3 linked regions of the Astyanax mexicanus genome follow. The protein of the gene in region 3 interacts with the protein of the main gene of each other region in a pairwise test. Links are inferred from orthologs where the notes say so. Each region holds a gene or a part of one and is shown on either strand. Other genes may lie near its edges.

Evidence for each region.
Region 1: the proteins of efemp2a (region 3) and il16 interact in binary tests that used the Homo sapiens proteins (3 or more experiments, as listed by UniProt). The two-hybrid records come from large-scale screens. The link is inferred for Astyanax mexicanus from reciprocal best matches to the Homo sapiens genes EFEMP2 and IL16.
Region 2: the proteins of efemp2a (region 3) and ammecr1 interact in binary tests that used the Homo sapiens proteins (3 or more experiments, as listed by UniProt). The two-hybrid records come from large-scale screens. The link is inferred for Astyanax mexicanus from reciprocal best matches to the Homo sapiens genes EFEMP2 and AMMECR1.

What each region holds. Positions count from the first base shown.
Region 1 is NC_064423.1:11,234,634-11,239,474, reverse strand, and holds the start of il16 (pro-interleukin-16), read right to left. Parts: upstream 2,719-4,841; 5' UTR 2,581-2,718; coding exon 2,568-2,580; intron 1-2,567. UniProt on the Homo sapiens protein: Interleukin-16 stimulates a migratory response in CD4+ lymphocytes, monocytes, and eosinophils. Primes CD4+ T-cells for IL-2 and IL-15 responsiveness. Also induces T-lymphocyte expression of interleukin 2 receptor. Ligand for CD4.
Region 2 is NC_064424.1:19,971,256-19,976,096, forward strand, and holds the start of ammecr1 (AMME syndrome candidate gene 1 protein), read right to left. Parts: upstream 3,211-4,841; 5' UTR 2,162-3,210; coding exon 1,689-2,161; intron 1-1,688.
Region 3 is NC_064417.1:45,817,371-45,822,211, forward strand, and holds the start of efemp2a (EGF-containing fibulin-like extracellular matrix protein 2a), read right to left. Parts: upstream 2,631-4,841; 5' UTR 2,352-2,630; intron 1-2,351. UniProt on the Homo sapiens protein: Plays a crucial role in elastic fiber formation in tissue, and in the formation of ultrastructural connections between elastic laminae and smooth muscle cells in the aorta, therefore participates in terminal differentiation and maturation of smooth muscle cell (SMC) and in the mechanical properties and wall integrity maintenance of the aorta.

The sequences.
Region 1 (4,841 bases), on a different chromosome or scaffold from region 3:
GTTATAGTCATATGATTATTTACTATATACATGCACATTTATACAAAAGGCCAGGGCTGTATTTTAATTCCCCCTTTCAGAGAAAAGAATGACTGCAGTGTGAATTTTACAATGACAATTCACACTGGTATGGGTGAATAAGAGCAGTTTTTTTTATTACAGTAAATACAGAGTGTGGGTTTTTTCTCTTTGGTCATTAATGCCAAGTTTATATTAGTGAGTAATGCATTTTTTCTTCACTAATCTCTCTGTCTGATCTTATTAAAATAAACAGCAGTGTTTGGAGTTCACTGTATGACACAATCGCCAACACCACCACCCCCAAAGTGTACAAATGTAAACAGCGACTAAATATTGTCTATGCTGTAGGTCACAGCTGTTGCAAGTCTAACACATATCTTTATGACAAAAGTTTTCTTGTACATACAAGGTTTCTTGAGTCAATAGGCATTCATATTAGGGATGCACAAAAATGAAATTGTGTGGCCATAACCAAAAGGATGAAACAAAATGACATAATTGGCCAAAGGCAGAATACTTAACATGATTTTCCACAGGTATTCATTAAGTTTGCCACTTTTTTCAACATTGAACTAATTTTATAGCCAAAATGTTTTTTTTCTTGCTTTTACAAAACTACCATATAAAATATGTATTGAACACTTAACATGACTAATACACCAACAAAACACAGTACATTATCCTCAGCAGTAAGTGTAAATTGTGAATATACTTCAGCAGTGCTACTCTATCTACTGACTTTAGTTGCGAATTTACCTCAACAGTGGTACTTAAGCTGACTTTTGTTGAAAAAATAGATGCTAATAAATGCTCAGCTTATGTTACTATACTAGTCCTGTACAGCTTGGATATTTTCTAACTCTTTCCTTAATAAATGTGTTTGATCTTTTTATTTATTCCCTTATTTATTTACTGGTACATTTGCCCACATTTTTTGGTTTCCAAATATTTGGTGCATCACCCCAACAGTGTTTGTTTGGGTTGATGTTAGGTTTCTGTGAGGGCCTTCCCTTCCACACCAAACTCAAGCAACCATGCCTATATGATCTTGTTTTGTGAACTGGGGCGAGTAAGTAAGACCGCGAGTGAATTTGCTGTTCTCACACCCAGTGGAAGTTCATTCCACCATTTTGGTCCTGCAGCACAGAGAAGAGTCCATGTTTGTTTTCTGTTAATCTTGAGAGATGGTGGTTTGAGTTGAGCCATACTGGAAGCTCTAAGAGCTCTTGGTACAGATCTAGCTTTGACCATCAGTGCCATCGAGAAGGAAGAAGCTGGTCCGTTTTTGGCTTTGTAGGCCAGCGTCAGGGTTTTAAATTTGATTTGGGCGGCAACATAAAGCCAGTGAAGGGAATGCACCAAAGGAGTCACATGACTAAACTTCGTAAGATTAAGGACAAGTCGTGCTGCCGCTGATTCTGAACTAGTTGCAGGGGTTTGGTGACTCGCAGTGGATGACCAGCCAGTAGGGAGTTGCAGTAGTCGAGTCTTGAGATGACAAAAGACTGCAGAGAGGGTGCTTTTTATGGTGGGGGTGCTGAATTCAGCATAGCACTAGCAAGCACACTGAGCAGTGAGTGACGTAAGCGTGCTCAGGCACGGATTGTTTAAACCAAGTATGAGTGCAGGCCAGCAAGGGGAAAGGGCTCCAAGTACGATTCAACCAAACCATGATTAGTGAGAGTACACCCTAAGAGAGCAATACCTGAAAAACAACTCCATAGCATTATCCTTCCTCCACCAAACTTTACTGTTGGCACAGTGAAGTCAAGCAGGTAACATTTTCAACCATTAGACTTTCAGGTAGAGAAGCTCAATGCATCAATCATGTAGAACAATCATGTATCACCACATCCAGTGTCCATTGAGGGTATGCTTTACATCCCTCCATCCGATGTTTGACATAGTGCTTGGTGATTTAAGGTTTGCATGCAGCCAGTGCACAGTTTATGCGCTTTGCTTTTAAAGACACCCCACCATGCAAAAACTAATTTCAGAAACCACCTCACACAACCTCTCTCTGTGACTTCATACAGCTGGGTTGCTGTGGTTCCTAAATGGTCCACTTTTCAATAATACCACTCATAGCTGGGAGAACTTGTTGCAGTGGTGGAAACCTATAACAGTACCACACTGTTAAGTGAGCTCTTCATAACCACCCATTCGTTCACTTCACGTGTGTTTAAAGGCAGACTGTATGGATTGAATAGGATTGGATATACAGTAATCCATCTTTAATCCATCTAATGTACTTACAATAGAGATATTTGTGCAGGTGCTGAACTTACCAACTTCCCATTGGCTGCTGTTATGTATTTTTGAGGGTTGAGCCTAAAGCTTAGTCTTAATTATCTTATAAACAGAAAAATACATCAAACTGACAGTCAGTTGTAATGTGGGCTGAGCTGCAGATCACACTGGAGTGTTCATTTACTATCTGTACATTAAATATTTTGGAAACAGCAAATTCTATTCAACATTTCAAACCAGCATGTATATGTTTTTTTTCTACAGCAGAAAAGTGACGGAGGAGAGAAATCACTCACCGAAGCTGATCATCTGACCTGACCAGAGCGTCCACGTGTAGCCTGCTGGGAAGTGTGTGTGGAGTGTTTCAGAGCTGTAGTCCAGCAGAAGTGGAGGAGAATGTGTTTCTGTGTGCTAGGTGATAAAAGGTGCTCTGTGGAACAACTTTTCCCTCTCTCCCTCCCTTCCTCTCTCTCTCTCTCTCTCTCTCTCTCTCTCTCTCTCTCCCTCACTCTCGCTCAAATGAGTGCCAGAGGCTGTCAGAGATTGGGCACTTGTAGCTGCCACCCTCCCTCCTTCACTTACTCACTCACTCACTCCTCAGCCCAGCAGCCAGCTAAACACAGAGTCCTCTCATAGAGCAAATCAGAGAGAGAGAGAGAAGAAACAGTATTGCAAAAAAAAAGCGAGAGACTGAGAGAAAGAATAAGAGATAGCAGGTAGGGAGGGGAGTAATAAAGAATAAAGGGAAAGAAAAAGAAAGAAAGAAGTAGAGACAACACATGAAGAGAGGAGAAAGACAAAAAAGAAAGGAAAAATTAAAGTGGAGGAAAAAAAGGGATAAAAAAAGAAAGTGACAAGATAGAAAGAAGAAAGAAAATCAGCAAAGAGAGAGAGCAATAGCAGGGGAGGAAGAGGAGAGAAAGAGTAAGACAGAGAGAGAGAAAGTAAAAATAGAAAGAACTGAATAAAGAGGGGGAACAAAAGTGGGCAGAAAGAGATAGCAAGAAAGAAAAGTGAAGCGCACATTAGGTAAGAGACAAAAAGAAGAAAAGTTTCAAAAAAGACGAAAATAGAGTAGAGATAAACAGAAAGAGAAATAGCAGGAGGAAGGAGAGAGAAAGACTAAGTAGAAGTAATGGGGAAAAAAACAAATACAATAAAAAAGGAGAAACAGACAATGAAAATATAAAAAGAAACTGGAAACAACAACAGACAAGAGACGAAATGACAAGGAAGAGATGAAGGGAAAAAGCAAATGCTGAGATAAAGAATACGATATAGCAGGGACGAAGGGAATAAAAAATAAAGAGAGAAAGTGTAATAAAGAATGAGGAAAGAGAAAAGACAACAAGGGGAAAGGAAAAAGACAAAAAGGAAGGGAAAAAGAAAAATGGAGGGAAAAACAATCAAGACAAGAAAAAACAGTAAAGAGAGAGGAGGGGAGGAAGAAGAGAGAAAGAGTAAGACAGAGAAAGGGGAGAAAAAAGATATAATTTAGTAGAGGATAAAAAGGGGGCAGAAAGTGAGAGAAAGAAATAAAAGTGAAGAGCAAATCAGGTAAGAGACAAAAAAGGAAAATTTCAAGAAAATGGAAAAAAGGTGGAGAGAAACAGAAAGAGAGAAAGGGTAGAAAAAACAGAAAGAAAGAGAGAGACAAAGAGAAAGTAAAACAGAGAGAAAGAAAAAGAGAAGTAGCAGGGGAGAAAGTAGAGAAAGACAAGGAAAGAAAATAAAAGGGAATACAATAGAATAGAAAAAGGGAAAAAAGACCATAAAAGACAAGAAAGAGATGCAGACAAAAAGAGCAGAAAGACGGCACAAGAAAAAAAAGAGAGAGAGAGAGAGAGGGAGAGAGGGAGAGAGAGAGAGAAAGACTTTCCCCAGTGAACTAACACCTACTACATTTCACAATGCTCCTTTACTCCAGATCAGCTCTGTTACAGCGTCTCACTAGTAACGCTATTAGCAGCCAGTGAGGCACTTTAAAGCATTTCTTCTATATGTTCCACATATCATTCTGATTCATCCCAAAGCTTTTCCCTCCTACTGTGTTTCAGTCAAATCTGACTGATAAATGTACCTCAGTTTTAAAGATACTGGACACAGGATTGGAGTATGTAAGCCGGGATGCTAACAGCTTTGATAAAGCTCTGCAGGGTTAGAGCTACAGTGGTAACTGTAGGGTTGATCTAACCCTGCTGTGCACTGACCTGCATCATAATAATTATATTTGCTATAGTACTCAGGGCAGTCTTGGCCTTGAAATCAGCCTTGTCTTGGTCTTGCGGTGAGGTTTACTCGAAAAATTGTTATATGATGAATGTAATTCTTTATTCTATTGATTTACTTGTTATTATTTATTCAATTATTTATTTTATTATTCACTGATGTATTTTTGATCATTTTATTTAATTCACACATTTTGGCAGGACTATAATATAATAATAACTTCCTTATATCCTTTTAGGCTATATACAGTGTTATGTAATGTTAATTAAAAAATAGAAAAGAAATGTCTAGAAAAAAGCATGTACAATGATTTATACTGAATTTATAATGAATTGTCTGTT
Region 2 (4,841 bases), on a different chromosome or scaffold from region 3:
AAACCTTCAGTTCTGTTATAATGGCTGTTTTAATAGACATCATTGTCAGACTAATTAATGGCATTTTTAAAAGACTGGTGAACAAATAGTGATACTCATCATCTAAAACGAACTGTTTACTCATGAGTTTTGTTACAAACATGACCGAAAATCGTCACAATAAAAAAAAAGTCATAATAAACAACGGTACTTTTACATTCACAAATTAAATACATTTAAAGGCAAATGTTTGTGTACTGCTACTCAAGTGGAGGTCTAAACGGATCCATATTTGCTGGAGTCATATTTTACCTATGTTAACTAGTCAACCTACCTTAGGTTGTTATCTACCTCTATTTTAACTTGAATAGCAAGCAAACAACATGGTCTGGGTGATTCGTCCACCAATGTGCTGGCTAGTGTTAACCCAGCTAACGCTACCGAACAAAGCAGCAAAAACTGACCGGTCACTCATTCGCGCTACAGTGATGTTTATTTGCAGGGTTAGCTTTCGCAGACTGGACATGTCCTTAAATTAAGTAATTGGGTTTGCTAATAACTAACCTCAACCACCCAAATTAATATAAGCAGAGAAACGCCAATTAAGCCTAGCTGGAAATATGCTAGGGAGTCGACTTTAAAACTACACTGCTCTGCTGTTAAAGGCACCGTAAACAACTCCGGCTTTGTTAGCTAACCAATCTAGCGCTAGCTAGCTAAGCTAGCCAATGACTGCTAGATGCACACCTAGATAAATAGATAGACAGCTAAAGCGCTTGGCTGTTTTTAGCCGACATTATGCTTGACAAAAACAAGCCAGCCAAAGGAACTAATTATAAACGTGGAAAGAACTGGTGTCGAAATTCTGTGTAATTTCAGGAATTTCACTGGCAAGTGAGCTAGCTGGCTAATATTCGTGGCTAGCCGAACAAGCTTAGCTAACGTGTGCAGCTTGGTTAGCTAGCTAGCGTAGCTAACGGGTTCATAATTCAGTTCACTGTAAAACATCACCCAACAGAGCGTTAGCAAGAGCACACAAAAGAGACACACATAAACTACCGTATGTTTGATAACAATCCAGTTATTTACCTACGTGTTTTTGAAATTTGTTTGACCGTATTTATAGTATAAGAAACCCACACTAACCCAGAGAATTAGCTTTAGCTGAAATAAAGTGGGACGCTCGGCCAGTGTATCTGATAAAAAATTAATCCGGACTAAGTTGGCTAACCGCTAGCTAGCATTAAACCCGTAAGCTCACACCAGTCAGTGTTTTCGTGGTAAATAGTCCAGCTACTTGAAGTTCATTCAAACAACAGCGGCTTTAGTAAATAAAGGAACTCGGGCACTTTTTTCTCCTTCCTTAGGCGACGAGTTGATTGAAGTTAGATAGGTTACTTTTTTAGAGAAATATCTAAAACTACAAATGTTTTCAATCGTAGCCACCTACTTAGCTAACTCTATCTGAACACAAAAGTTGAAAGTTACCAGGGAAATACATTTAAGCATTTGGTAGTTAATAAAGTAGCAAGAAAATATAGGTTAATGGTGACTCGTGTCAGTGTTTACTGAAAAGCAGGCAAGACTCCTTAGCTAAACTACTTCAAGTCATATTTCTTTAGGCTTCTTTAGGTTGACAAAGACCGAGAACATCACTACTTAGCTGCTATTTTAGCCAGTTAAGCTAACTTAGCCATCCCGCTACTTACTAGGGGTCGTTTGTAAACCTGGGTGTTCGGGGAGGCTGGTATCCGTATAGATGGCAATAAAGCACGTCGAAGCAGAAGCAACACATCTCCGCCGACACTACCATCTTCCTGGCCCCGCTTCCAGAGCCAGGACCGGGGCTGAGGTTCGGAGAGAGGCCGGTAGAGTTGTAGCCTCCCGGAGTTGGGGACAGAGCGGTGGAGTTGCCGCTGCTGCCTCCTCCTCCGCCGCCGCTGCTGCCGCCGCTACCCCCAGGACCCCCCAGGCCGTTCACCCGATTCACGCTGCCGGCCACCACGGTGGAGGAGGACCCGATCCCCAAGTCCGATCCGCAGTGTCCGGCCCCTGCCACCCCGCTCCCCGCCCCGCCGGGCCCCCCCGAGCCGGGGGATCCCGACAACTTCTGCTTCTTCACCCCGCAGCACCCGGCCGCCATCTTCGAACAATCTGCACCGACACACCGCTTCCGACCCATCACCGTCACCGCGGGAAGGGCGGGGGGAAACGCCGACCACACGTAAAAGTCCCACTGCGTCAGGGCGTACGACGGACGATGCTCCACCTTTCCCTCCTCCTTCTTTCCTCTTCCCTCCTCCTCCCGCTCCCGTCCGACGAGCGGCGTAGCTAGCGAGCTAACACCCGGAGTAGTTTGACTGGGGGGGGGGGCGGTGGGGCGGAGAGCTGAGGGGGGGCTGTAGGGAGTTAGGTTAACTAGGGAGTGTGCGGGAAAGTGTGTGGGACTACGAACGAACGCACCACGCACGCAGAGGAGAGCCTCTGCAATGTCACCCGAGCTTCTCCAACGGCCGTATCGTACGCTGCGGTCGTACGCAATGTCCGTAAGCAGGCGGCCAGCCAGCTGCGAACCTCTGCAAAGCCAACGACGCTTGGACGGAGCCGCGGTGTTCGCAGTGTTTGTTGATGGGGGCAGCGGCAGCAGGCCCCTCGCCGCTGCAGCTCGCAACACGAGTCTCTGTCAAAGCGCGCAGACATCCACAGTGTGCAAAAAACAAACAGGCAAAAAAGGGCGTGGAAGTCGAGAGTCGAGAGGCTTCAGGACGCGGCGGAGCAGGAGCAGGACCAGCGTCCACCGTCCCCTTCTCTCTAGCTAGCTGTCTCCCCGGTCCACCTCCCTCCCTTCCTTAACAGCACAGACACAGCGCAGCTTCCCGTGTGGAAATGGGGGGCTTTTTTGAGTACGCAGGACCCATACGGCTCGCTACGCCCCGGCTAGTGCTTTCTTTTTATCGGTTGTTTACTTGCATCCGACCTTGGCTAGCCAGCCAGCTAGCTAGAAAGAGTCGGCCGGCCGGCTTCTTCCTCCTCCTCTCCCTCTGGAAGGATATATAGAAAGGCTCCGAATAGCACAAGTTATCCGCAGCTAGGATGGCGCTTTCTTTTTTTCAGGCACCGCTGCAGTTCGGCTTTTTTGACAGCGCCAGAGAGACGCAGAGAGTCATTTCATCTGCGCGAAAGCCCAGCGAAACACCGGCCGTCCCCTCAATGCGCAGTAGCCTCGCTATTACACCCACCTCCCCCTGGCTCACCCCCGGCTCACCCCCACCTTCACCCCCAGCTACGGCTCTTTTTACAGTAACCCCACCAGCACTGCGAGAAGCAGACTGAGCAAACTGGAAAGTTTTCTCTCCACGGCTTTTAACGTTGCCATCCGTTTATTAGGGCACATTTTTTTGCTTTTGTTTTGAACGGCTCGAGACAGAAGTCCCCGTCCATCAGAAGTCTCCGGACGCTCTCCCCCCAGCCGCACGTGCTCGCTAGTCCAGTCCCAGCGACTGACATGAAAGCCCGGTTGCAGTTTAGCTAACGTTAGGTTAATGTGGAGGAGGCGAGGAGGAGGAGGGGGAGAAAGAGGGTCCTAGCTATGCGACCAACCCGAAGCGTATTCAAGAGCCGTATTCACTTCGTGCACGCCGAACCCAGAATCCAGAAGAGAACGTAACTAGTTTACGCACACTTCGTAGCTACGCATCTTGCGTATTCTTCGCAGCTCCGCGAATCTGTATTCTCAATCTCGGCTACGTGAGAATTAAAAGGAAAAAATGCTGAGGCAGAATCCTCTCACGGAGCCGTTGTTTTCTTCACTCAACGATTTGTCATGTAACGTTAACAGTCTTCATTTAGTGAAGTCTTCATCTGTTCTTGCCCATCTTCATCCTATAGTGGAGAAAGAGACAGAGAGAGAGAGAGAGCAGGTCAGGAGGAGGAAAAGGAAAAAGCTAGCTAAGCTATCTATTAGCTCCAACCGACACACAGCCAAATGTGTGCTCAGCACCCAGCGACTGACTGAACAGGGAGGATGTCCTGGCGTGTTCTCCCTATTCATTCAAATACCCCCAGTCTAGCAAAATGTCAGCAGCCTACACACAACATCATTCATTATTATTCACCAGAGCTCACAGGACACCAAGGTAGGCTGCAGCTCTTTCTCGTCACAGGAAACCTGGAGCTCCTCATCTCGAAATCTTCTTTCTTTTAAGTGAAGATATTTTGACTTTCTCTTGGGTCATTTACACAAGGCTAAAATATCAAATCCAAGACCAAATCTAAGAAATACATTTGTTCGCCATCCAAAAAACACATTAAGAACCTTTCCTTGAAGTTTTCCTTGCCTTATCAGTGTTTTCTCAGCTCTAATATCGAAGGTTAGGGTTGACACATTCTTGACATCAAACATGCCTGCAAATTACTGAGAAGAATCCAGAAGTATGTAGACCAGGGCAAGTCAGCTTTTGCCAGTGAAGATGTTTGGGTTGGCCCTATAAAAAAGTTAATGTAACCAACACCCTCATACAATGAGAAAATGCAGATAATACAATAAAATTTTTACAGCTAATCGCACAGCTCATTGAAAGGAGAACTCCACATTTTTCTTGAAAGTGAGATGGCAGAGCTGGAATTTATGTCACACACTTGATGTTCCAGTTAAACACTGCAAAATATTCTGTATTTTACACATGCAAACACAATTAATCTGTCCACAGACAGTTAGACAGTTATTTATGTATGAGACACAAATACATAAAGGTGCTAAGAAACTGAATAACACTACTACTTTTATTACGGTTGATGTACCATGCAGCCATCTTGGATTCTGAACACTGTGTTGGTGAGGCTCTCACAGCTTTCAGAGTAGA
Region 3 (4,841 bases):
CCATAGTAACCTGAAACTTGAGGGTCAAGTTTAAAGATTATGACTTGAGAAGTGATTGAGACATAAAAATTAGGATTTGAGACTTAAATGAGACTTGAAGGTCAAGACTTGAGGCTCAAATAAGACTTGAAGGTTAAGATTTGAGACTTGATTAAGACTTAAATGGTAAGATTTGAGATTTGACTGAGATTGACTTGATAATTAAGGCTTGAGACCTGATTGAGACATAAAGGTTATGATTTTAGATTTGCTTGAGACTCAAATGGTAAGACTGAGATTGGGATTGAGATTTACTTAAGCCTTATTCACACCTCTGTCTAAGGCTACAGTCACACATTTGGTAAAATTAGACCAAATATGATCTTTTTTGTCACTTACATGTTTTTTTACATAGCAATGTGAATGACAAAAAACACAAAACCTTTTTCCACCTTTTGAATTTAAAGTTTAACCACTTCTTTGTGGATTTTATGAAATTGAAATCCAATACATATATACAATAAGCATCAATGCGACTCAGCCTAAACAGCCAGAATGAAATTCATGCAACAGGAACCCTGGAACTTTGAGAGCTACTTTGATGCTGGAGAAGATGAAACAAAAACCTTATGGAAGCTTTGTTTTCTGTGCGTAGGCGCCAGTTTAACAGTTTGGACTGAACATCTGATGTAGTTCACATTTAAAATATAGTGGGAAAGGACTAAGAAAAAAACATTTTGGCTACTTTACCTGCTATGTGGACATCTCCAATAGGGCACAAATGTAGGGTAAGGTATGAACTTTCAAAGGCCTGACCCCTTAAACTCTAGAACACAGTGTTTCACACCAAACCATTCTGAAAGGCTTAATGTACATCTACAAATATGTGTTCTTCTAACCAGTTCAAACCAGACATCACCTACTTTTTCGAATTCATTTTTACTGTTTTTCTACCAAGATAAACAGTTTTAAAGAAATTGCTGAGGTGTTTTTGCACAGGTCTGTAGGCGCGACTGCCCGGCATGCTTCTTTGCCGTTGAATGAATGCTGGAGTCAGCCCTGAGCCATATAAAATAATGCAGCCAAAAGTCAGTAATTGCAAAAATATACAAACAAACGTGATGAAGCGTTGCGTGAACATTCGGTGAAGAAGTGGCCTGTGCTTGTACAGTAGGCCACTGTTCTGAGTCGTGACACCATGCTGGGGGGGTTTAATTGTACGTGTTTTTTTTCTCTCCTTGTTATGGCACCTGTGTTTTTTTTTTCAGCGGGGCCAAAACGTGTTTTTCTTGAGCTGTTAACTGTTAGCGCTGCTAAGCAGTAGACATGTCATGATAACTGTTTTTTTTTTTGTTTTTTTGTATTGGATGATATATTCTATATTCTCTCAGAAATAATGATGCTATTATGCTATTACACCCTTGTGAGAGACAATGAACATTTGATTAATAATAGTTTGAGAGGTGAATACTTCAGTCATGTTACTGATGCATGGTTCAATGCCTGACTGAATAAAATATTAGTGACATTTATTTGTATGTTAACATCCATGATGGACAATGGATATTAATTGATAAGTATGATAGGTCCATAACATAATTATAGTGACAGGCCTACTAAAGTGACCAAAGAGTCACTTTAAAAAGCCTCATTTGTTGAATAAAACTGGACAAATCAGCCTAAAACTATAGATAGACAATCCTGAAAGTACAGCCACTCACACAGTTCCAGCCTTTTCCAAGCTCCTTTTTTTATAGTAAAAGTTGCCCAGAGCTGCTGCTCTAGTGGGGGTCTAAGAGAGGAGGTGAGTGACATTAGTGCTGGTTGTGAAAGAAAGCTGGAAGCGAGGTTGGAAAGTTTTGCAATAGTATAGTGTGTACATGAAGCGTGATGCGTAACAGTAACAGCATCCTGACGGTTGGGTAAGAGACACTGGAGGACTAAAGCCACGAGCGTCTGGCCCGTCTCAGCGGGGCTGACTGTAAGAGATAGGATTGCGTGACGGCTGCACAGTGAGGGTATTCTGGGTCATTCCAGCACTTTTGTGGCCGGAGTGAAGTAGCACCAGGGCGCTGAGGCTGTGAATGGTTGGAGTGGAGCTGTGGAGCATGGGTGACGTACTGAGAGCCTTCAAGGAAAAAATTTACTTTTCTGTTGTTTTTTTTCTTCTGTTTCTACTGTATCTTACTATCTTTCCTCTTTATGCAGTATCTTACTCATCTATTCTTTTCTTTTTCTCCTTTCATGAGGTACTGAATGTCTTATTCTCACCTTCTATATTGAGATGATAATATTTTAGTACTTTTTTTTTTTTTACTTTTATTGTAATCCCTTGTTTAGTGAATGTGAAATCTGAAGCATGTTGTACTCACAGGTCACTTCTCCTCCTGTTGTGGCCTTGGATTCTTGTGGATTCTCTCTGTCTGTCTCTCCTCTTTTCTTCTCTTCTCTTCCGGTGAAGGTTTCTCTCCCTTCTCTTCCTCTTTTTCTCTCTGTCTCTCTCTTCTTTAGCTGCCTCTTCCTTCTCTTCTTGTTCTTCTCCTTCTTCCTTGTTCTACCTCTTCAGCTTGACTGAGTGGAGTGTGGAGACGGACAGCTGGAGTGTATGAATGTATCCCGAGGAGGGCGAGACGGAAGAGAGGGACAGCCCATTCCGACCCCCCCTCTAGGCCCCCTGCGCCGCCGTCCTCCGCCCCCCAGACACCCCTCTGACCACCCCCCACCCCTCTCCTCTCCTCCTCTCCTCACCCCCCAGGATGAAAATTCCTGGTCTGCGGCCCAAATTCCAAAATTCCAAATCTGTCCGGTTTGCCGGCAGAACAACAGTGCACAGATTCACACAGTCACAGTTACACACACACACTTACACACACACACACACATTCGACCGCCCCCCCTGAACCCTTCCTCACAAACCACCACCACCAGCAGACCCTACACATTTACACACACACGCACACTTAAACACTCAAACACATACATACAGAGCAAATACACACAAATAGTTCCAACGCACCTGGTTTCATTTAAACTGGCCCCCCACAGCTCGCAACTTTCTCTCCATTTTTCTCTCCATGTTTCCCTCCCACCTCAATTCACCCTTCATCTCACCCATCTTTTTTCCTCCCTCACTCCACAGCCAGATATTTATATCCTTGGGAGAGAAGCTGGTGGAATGCGGAAAGAAATTAGCAAGAAGAGTAAGGAACGTGAGAGAAAAAGGGAGAGAGAGAGAAAAAGAGAGAGAAAATCAAGAGAGAGAGAGAGAGAGAGCGAGAGAGAGAGAGAGAGAGAGAGAGAGAGGGTGAGTGTGCTAAAAAGGGAGGAAAAGACACACGTCTACTTGGAAAAGTCATCCACCTCTTTTTTTCCCTCCTCCTGTCCAAATATTTAAACTGGAGGTCCTCGCTGGATGATATAAAGACAGAAATGTTTAGATGTGAGGCGCTGTAAAGAGTGACACTGATTACACCTTTATTTCATTAACTCCACAGCCATAGCCATATAGTGCACTCGCTCTATCCCAACTCTCTCACAGCTCTCACAGCTCTCACACTGAATCAATTTCCTCCTACAGAGCTGCATGCAGCACAGGAACAATCCAGGGTTTTGTTCTGCACGTTATTCACTGTCTAAATACAGGCCCGGCTGTCCATTTCTGCAGAGTCACTGCTTCACGAGATGTGGGGGAACAGTAATAATTACAGTTCAGAAGTGACCCAAAGACATAGTTAATGCTCAACGAGATGTGAACCCTTAAAAAAAAAACAGTGTAACATTCCAGGAGGTGCTTTCTCTCGACTCTCAGCTTTAAACTCCAGTGCAGGAGTTGAGAGAGCATTCATTCGTTTAATAGGCCGTGTCGGAGGTCCGTTACAGGTCTGTCATTTTCAGAACACCCACAGACTCTATCTATGTACCTCCCACAACATGGTGACAAATTGAAGCCCCCTAGGTGGCCACACACAGACATCACATTGGGACTCCTGACACCCACACTTATTGGTTCAACTGTTCAACAAATGACCAGCGAGCCATATGGTTTAAGCATAAGTACCTATCCAGATACAGATCCCAATTACACCTGGTCCCTTCATGTGACTAGTAGGCCTGTGTATTGGTGAGAACTTTGCAATATGATATGTATAGCATTAAAGGGCTTACGATTAAACGATACAGAACGTTAGTGTTATAGCTGTTTATAGCTGCATTCATTTTATTCTTTAATTTTGCAGCAAATCAGTTTACATTTATTTTGTGTTTCGAATTTGAATTATGTTGAATTTGAAATGTTTGTGAGATACTGAATTACGTTTTTGTAGCATTGCACCTGTGATCACATCATGAGGTTAAAAAGTATATGAAGTAGGGTAGTTTGGTGGAGGTGGCTGGAAACAGGAGCTTAGTAAGACACTTTTTGACCACGCTCTTACTCAATTTCATCAATTTTATTAAATGCAGTGGTATTGGATCAAGGACTAAATCAGTTAACATTTAATTCTTAATTGTGACTTTAAAATGCAACAAAGTTAAAGGATACGTTCACATTAGCAGGCTGAAGTAACTCAAATCAAATTTTTTGCTCAATGTGGCTCAGATCTGATTTTTTCATGGCTGTGCCCAATCTGTTTTTTTTTTTGTTTTTTATCAGACTTGCATCACTTTCATATGTGGTCCTAAACTGGATATGTATCCAATCCATGGACATGCGACATAAATATGAACGGTCAAATCAGAATTCATGCGTCTTTTTTCTTTCATGCATGCGCTACAGGCTTCTGTCTCACATTTTCGACCTGAGCATGAACCTCAGACCAGCTGTTTTCTGTCCACTCCAGTAAAAGATGCTCCACATATGAGCT